Saccharomyces cerevisiae S288C: one gene and its partner. The protein of the gene in region 2 purifies or fractionates together with the protein of the main gene of each other region. This does not show direct contact. Each region holds a gene or a part of one and is shown on either strand. Other genes may lie near its edges.

Region 1 (3,499 bases), on a different chromosome or scaffold from region 2:
TTCTTAGTATATATATACTGCTCAAGGGCAAATGCAATTACTTTGGAAATGCTTTCTTGTTCTGATACGTAAGAAGACAAGTAATCTCTGGACTAAAAGTGGAGCCGGAATAGAGACTCTCTTAGTATCAGTATCCACCTCTTCAAAGGATAATGCGTTCTTTGCCAATAGTCACATATTGTGGGTATGTGCGTTTTGCAAAGGCAGCAATATATTGTTTACTTATTTCCCAAAAAGGAAAAATCTTTAAACCATCCTAGAACTTCAATTCACCACGTTCAGGGTAATATATTTTAACCGCCGACGTTCTCGCCATAACTTTTAAACAGTGATAACTAGTATTGAAACTTAGAAGAGAAAAGGGTAAAGTTAATGCTTAATCTTGTCTTGGCTTAAAAAGTAATATGTACTTATTTACGTCTTCACAAAATCTAGCAGAAAAACGGTAGTATTTATGTATATTCAAAAAAAAATCATTATCCTCATCAAGATTGCTTTATTTAAGCCTTGGCAACATATTCGATCAAGTCAACAACTCTGGCGGAGTAACCGTATTCGTTATCGTACCAGGAAATCAACTTGACGAACTTTGGAGACAATTGGATACCAGCGGAGGCATCGAAGATGGAAGCGTGAGTGTCACCCAAGAAATCAGAGGAGACAACGGCATCTTCGGTGTAACCCAAAACACCCTTCATTGGACCTTCAGCGGCAGCCTTAACAGCCTTCTTGATTTGGTCGTAAGTAGCTTCCTTTTCCAACTTGACAGTCAAGTCAACAACGGAAACATCGACGGTTGGGACTCTGAAAGCCATACCGGTCAACTTACCTTGCAATTCTGGCAAGACCTTACCGACAGCCTTAGCAGCACCGGTAGAGGATGGGATAATGTTACCGGAAGCGGTTCTACCACCTCTCCAGTCCTTGTGGGATGGACCATCAACAGTCTTTTGAGTGGCGGTCATGGAGTGAACAGTGGTCATCAAACCTTCTTCAATACCGAAAGCATCGTTGATAACCTTGGCCAATGGAGCCAAACAGTTGGTGGTACAAGAAGCGTTGGAGACAATCTTCTTGTCTGGAGTGTATTTAGTGTGGTTAACACCAACAACAAACATTGGAGCAGAAGAAGATGGAGCAGTGATGACAACCTTCTTGGCACCAGCGTCAATGTGCTTTTGAGCGGTGTCCAATTCCTTGAAAACACCAGTGGAGTCAACAGCGACATCGATCTTTAGAGAACCCCATGGCAAGTTAGCTGGGTCTCTTTCTTGGTAGGTAGCGATCTTGACACCATCAATGATGATGTGCTTGTCGTCATGGGAAACAGTACCCTTGTATCTACCATGAGTAGAATCGTACTTGACCATGTAAGCAGCATAATCGTTAGAGATAAATGGATCGTTGACAGCAACAACCTCAATGTCTTTTCTTTGCAAAGCCAATCTCAAGACCAATCTACCGATTCTACCGAAACCGTTAATAGCAATTCTGATCATTTTGTTTTGTGTGTAAATTTAGTGAAGTACTGTTTTTTGTGTGTGTTGGTGAAATATCAAACCAAGTTCTTGATGAATTTCTTATTTATGCAAGAGAGAGAATAGAACTGTACTACAAATCTCATTGTGTGAAAATATATTGTCTATTTATATGATTTCGAGACTCCAGTTTTGGTCATTATCACCAAGCTCTTACTGCTACAGAGAATGAACATGCTCCTCCCCCCCTTCTTCAGACTATGTTGTTCTGCACGTGGATACCGTCGCATGCACCTAAGAAGCAGATGGTGGCTTGCCTTACTGTATTGTAAAGATCCAGTCTCCAGATCTGCGACCACTCCGAAGGTTGAAACCCGAGCTTCCTGTTTGCTGTCTCGCGCCTTTTAAAAAAAAAGCGCGATTATGGGCCGCTCGTGACAGTAAAGGAAGCAAGCAGATCGACCCCCTGAAAATGTGGTGTGGTTACTAAGCAGAAGCGTCTTCGTCGCATATCCTATTCCTAGCGCAACAAGGCCCCACGGTGTGGTTTCATGTGACGTGGAGTCATGTAGGCTTGTGGTGCGCACATTTTTACTAAGCTCAACAACCCTACTGGCGCTGCTGGAAGTGAATGGCGAGTAGATACTATCAAGTGTTGGCTGGTGGGACATATCAGCAACTAATGGATAGAATAAATTGGATCAGAAGCTCAGCCCAACTTATCCTCCATATGGTGATATAGAGTGTAAATGAGCATATACATTCGTTTCTTTTTCTCCTCCCATTAGTCTGGCCCTTTAGCATACAAGTCAACTGTAGTTTTCAGAAGCGGGCTTTTCTTGGTTTTTGTTATGTTACCTGTGAGAAACTAATCCATCGAGAAATTTACTCATTTTTTTTTTTACTCCAAGCTGCTTTTACTTAGCTAAACATAAAAAAAGATATTTCTTATGCATTAACTTGAAGAAAAATTGTTCCCTTGGACAACGCTGTGCTTTTCCGAAGCACTGTAAAAGGGAAGAAAACCATATGCTATTCCTCCTTTCGTAGAGAAAAAAAGTTTTAGCACTTGAGCTTCTTACTATATCGTATTTTACCTCTTGCTTGTTTAGTTCGTTATAACTTACGCAAAAGTCTTCTACTGAAATCTAGATATTGTTATGTATAACACTATAATGCCAAACGAAAAGTTAAATATCGAGATGTTGAAAGAACAGAGAACCACATCTTCACCTTATTTAAGGTCGAGCTTTTCTACCGGGTCCTGTACAATGTTATTTCTGATTGTTTAAAATATCTTCTGCCATCTTCATCGATAATAACCAAGCTCAAATAATTCTTGACGTTAAAGTAGTTGCAGCTCATATTGGGCGTCAGGTCATAGCCGCTCAAGAATAATCTTATGGGTATGGTTTCACCTTTCACTGAAGACCCATCCATTATTTCGTATCGGATAGCAGTGGAATCTGTCATTACATTAGAAGTTTGTAGGCCGGAAGATTCTCTTGTGATCAAGCTTAATTCCATATGTTTTATCCTTAGTCTCGTTAAAAGGAAATATATACGCCCCACAATGACTTCTTTTAAGCTGTACTGGGATTTGGCATATTCAAACTCAATGTGAAGGCAATTTTCTATACCTATATCCAATCTAACAGGCTTGGGCTCATTATTTGAATGTGATATCGGCAAAACTTGATTAACGTCTGCCGCCTCACCCTGGGTGCTCTTTGTTTGCGTGTTGTCACTCGCATTATCTGCAGCATAGTTACCACCAGCGATGTCATTAGTGGTTGCCTTTGTCTCATTTGCGGAAAGGGTATTTGGCGCAGTAGTTACACTATTATAAAGATAGACCCAAAATCTTTTTATTTTCGAGATGTCTGTGGACTTCCTCATAACTGTTACCTTAACATAGTAAGCTACATCCACATTTTTGCCTTTATAAGATTCGTATCTTTTACTCAAATCTCTGAATAGGAATGGGAAACTTTGAGAATGTTGTAATTCACCAGCAGGAC
Region 2 (3,946 bases):
TGGAATACAGGCAAACGGTTTTATTGAACAAATTAATAGAAGATGAAACTCAGGCTACCACCAATAACACAGTTGAGAAAGATAATAATACGCTGGAAAGGTTGGAATTGGCTCAAGAACTAACGATGTTGCAATTACAAAGGAAAAACAAATTGAGTTCCTTGGTGAAGAAATTTGAAGACAATGCCAAGATTCATAAATATAGACGGATTATCAGGGAAGGTACGGAAATGAATATTGAAGAAGTAGATAGTTCGCTGGATGTAATACTACAGACATTGATAGCCAACAATAATAAAAATAAGGGCGCAGAACAGATCATCACAATCTCAAACGCGAATAGTCATGCATAAAATATACATAAATAGAGGAACTTTACATGTATCCATATACTGAAAAATAGATAAAACAATGAGATAATATTTATTAACTTCTACGTAAATAAAAAGTTACATAAGGATCAACCTTTTTTTCTTTATTTTCTTTTTTTTTTTTATTTTTCATTTTCAATTACAAACTAAGACATAACAGTAAGCAGTGCTTTTTCTGTGCATGTTTTCCTCTTTTTATAATGATATTGGCTAAAATAAAATTAACAAAAACAGATGAGTGATATAGATTATATTCATTACAGTTCGTTTTCCTAACTCACATAATAATAGCTTCCTTTGGAACATTATCGGAGATAGACTTATGAGGTAAGACTTTACCACCGTTGATGTAGATTTCGTCCTTAACTTCAACGTCGTCACCCAAGACAGTGACACCTTCCAAACGACACCATTGACCAACGGTAGAGTTCCAGCCTACGATGGTAGATTTGACCAAGGAGTGGTTCTTGATGGTGGAGTTGCACAAAACAACAGATCTGGTGATTCTAACACCATCACCGATGGTGACATTAGGACCGATAACCACGTCTGGGCCAATCTTAGCAGTGGAGGAAATCTTAGCGGTTGGGTCGATCAAGGCATTACCAACAATGTTGGCACCTGTAGCCAATTTTTTTGGTTGTCTCTTGGCCAAAGAGTTCAAGTAAAGAACGGTACCAGACAAGAAGTCCTTTGGTTGACCAACATCCATCCAGAAACCTTCCAAATCGAAGGAATATAGTTGTTTTTCTTCGACCAAGATTGGGAAAGTTTCCTTTTCAATTGAAGTTGGCTTCATTTCAATCAAGTCAATGACTTCTGGGTTTAAAATGTACAAACCGGCGTTAATTCTGTTACCAACAAATTCCTTTGGCTTTTCAACAAATCTGTCAATCAAGTTTGGAGTAGCTATATCATGGACAATGACACCGTATTTAGAAGGTTCGTCGACCTTGGTAGCAACAATGGTACCTTTACCACCGTGAGCTTTGTGGAAGTCAGCCAATTCCTTGAATGGATATTCGCAAATGACGTCGGAGTTTAGGACGAAAAATGGAGAGTTGTCCTTCTTCAAAACATCTTCAGCCAATTTCAATGGACCTGCAGTACCTAATGGTTCAGTTTCTACAGAGAAAGTGATGTTAACACCATATTCCTTTTCGTACTTCTTCAAAGTTTCCACCATGACTTCTGGTCTGTAATTAACAGCAAGAACGATGTCAGTAACACCAGCGTTGGCTAAAGCCTCGATTTGGTGTAAAATCATTGGTCTATTACCGAATTCAACCAGTGGCTTTGGAACGGTCAAAGTTAAAGGTCTCAATCTGGTACCGTAACCACCGACTAAAATTAAACCTTTCATTTTTCAATTATATATGTTTTATTTGTTGAAGTTGTAGCTTGTCTTGTGCTGATAATATTTTGTTTGTATAGTCAACAAAATATTTGGACAGAAGAAAAGAGTTAGCGAATGTAAAGTAGTTTGCACACTTGATGAACGTTATCAAAGTCAAAGAGGTGAGAACAAGATAGACAAAGAAAAAAAAAATACAGTTTTGGAGAAAAGAAAACAAGACTATGTGAAACTTCTAACAATGACGTGAAAAGTCTACTATATATATGTTTACAAGAGCGCCACGAGGCAAGGAAAAAAAGAAAACAAAGCGAGAAACCACCAGCTTACTTTACTACCGGTCAGCTGTGGTTCTGTGTCTGTTCGTCTGTTTGTTTGTTTGTTTGTTTATTGCTGCGCTGTTCATGCTGAAAAACGACAAAAACAAAGAAAAAAAAGTTTTTCAGAGATTGAGATAAAAATAAACGTGGTGGCTCCCGAGGCATTTCTAGCTGGCCAGCAAGTACACGGTGGCCGTTTCTTTTGGCGTTTTTTTTTTCTGTTTTCGCGTTCTTCATGCTGTGCGTTGCTGGTGAGGTGGCGTGGACGGTTTGGTTTAGGCAATGATAGAAAAAGCTATAGTCAGAGTTGCAGGAAAGGACGAAAGTAGTCCATTTGGTGCCGTTATCCAAGGGTCTTGCTCTTAGTCTTGCTTTTCACCCAGCACGCGGTAAGAAGGATCGGGTGCAGCATGAAGAATGCTGACTGTACGCGTTTCGATTTGAAGCTTTAGGATGTTCTGTGGGTTGGGTTGGCTCGATCGACAGTGCGTATAGTGACCTTTGAACTGTACCGGGTGGCACGTCGTGCACAGAATCAGAAGTAGTTATAAAAGATTTGTAATTGCGTATATGCAACCAAGTTTAGGCTTTCTCCGTGCCGTTTTTTAAGGTGAAATGTACTCCTCTTGAAAATGTAAAAAAATGGAGCCTCGCAGAGCAGCTTGCCAAGCAGGTTGATACAAGGTGAGCCGCCGAAACATAACGATAAACGTGGTATAGTTTTCGATTGCCTTTAGTTTGGGTGGTCTCAGTGCTGGCACCTGACGAACTATTCGTAGGCAGGAGAACTTGCATCATGTGGTGTTCTTCCGAGATAGGGATGCCGTTTGGTCCTTACGAAAGTCAATGTTCTGGTACTACTAATTATTAACATAGTTCGTTGTATACACACTCTTTACTTTCATAAGAAATAAAAAGCACGTCTAAGAAATCTCTACGTCTTGGCTGCGGCAAGCAACTGCATAGAAAGCACATAGTAGTAACTCTAAAATGCGAGCTTCATACAGACAATTACATAAATGCAACATAGGCAGCATGGGATCCTGGGTTTCATATCGTCAAAGAAAGCCACCAACTGGCTTTACCATAAAAATACGAAAAGAAGTGCACACATTCTTCTTTTTGGCTCATCACAAGTTCTTCAATTTACTGTCATTACTTTTGTTTCCTTGTCAGATAATGTATGGGTGGTGTGTACACCAAGGTATTTTTTTTTTTACTTGGCAGATCTGCAATGCATAATAGAATGGTAAGGGAACGAGTAACAGACGGGAAGCGAATGCGAACACAAAGAATATAAATTTGAAATCTCCTGTTGCAAAGGATTCTCTAGACATTTACTATCTCAGTGACAATTCTCGAGTGAAACAAGAAATTGAGATGGTAGGTCAGCGCCCATACTTCTTGAATCAATTGGAGGAGCGGATAAAGCAAGTTTCCCCCCTCAATGTAAATCATCTTAAGCAAAATTTTAAAATCTAGGCACATATAAAGAGAAAATGGGAATGATTTTGCTGGATAGGCTACAGTGTTAGGAATGCAGAATTAGGAACTATAGATGATGCGATTAAAGATATTAAACGAGAAGTGACAGTGGTGGCTTCGACAACGGCAGTCGTGCTCGGTCGACAACGTGTATGTTTTTGCCGAGCAGAGCAGGGAAAGTCCTTCTTTCTGCGCGTGAATCAAAACACATTGGTATCGAATTTAACATATCTGGGTGAGGAATGGACAATCCTAATAAAGTACTGGAGGTTTGTCTGTATTTCCAAGTTCTTGCTTGTAGAAACTGCTTTCTTTTCTCTTTTCCTGCAGCGGTCGAACATATGTGATTATTGATTAGCCATTTGTTCCAAGTCATATAGTAGTATTACGTGTTCAGATGCGGTGTTAGCGTATCT

What was found. The genes of interacting proteins can lie anywhere in the genome.
Region 1: the proteins of PSA1 (region 2) and TDH1 purify together in Saccharomyces cerevisiae (affinity purification with mass spectrometry; 2 studies listed by BioGRID, with this or other methods). This does not show direct contact.

Annotation. Positions count from the first base shown.
Region 1 is NC_001142.9:336,271-339,769, reverse strand, and holds TDH1 (glyceraldehyde-3-phosphate dehydrogenase (phosphorylating) TDH1), read right to left. Parts: upstream 1,500-3,499; coding exon 501-1,499; downstream 1-500. Other genes in the region: YJL052C-A (uncharacterized protein), read left to right, coding at 1,767-1,886; retromer subunit PEP8, read right to left, coding at 2,733-3,499. UniProt on the Saccharomyces cerevisiae protein: Glyceraldehyde-3-phosphate dehydrogenase (GAPDH) involved in glycolysis and gluconeogenesis. Catalyzes the reaction of glyceraldehyde-3-phosphate to 1,3 bis-phosphoglycerate.
Region 2 is NC_001136.10:355,026-358,971, forward strand, and holds PSA1 (mannose-1-phosphate guanylyltransferase), read right to left. Parts: upstream 1,735-3,946; coding exon 649-1,734; downstream 1-648. Other genes in the region: transcription factor MBP1, read left to right, coding at 1-353. UniProt on the Saccharomyces cerevisiae protein: Involved in cell wall synthesis where it is required for glycosylation. Involved in cell cycle progression through cell-size checkpoint.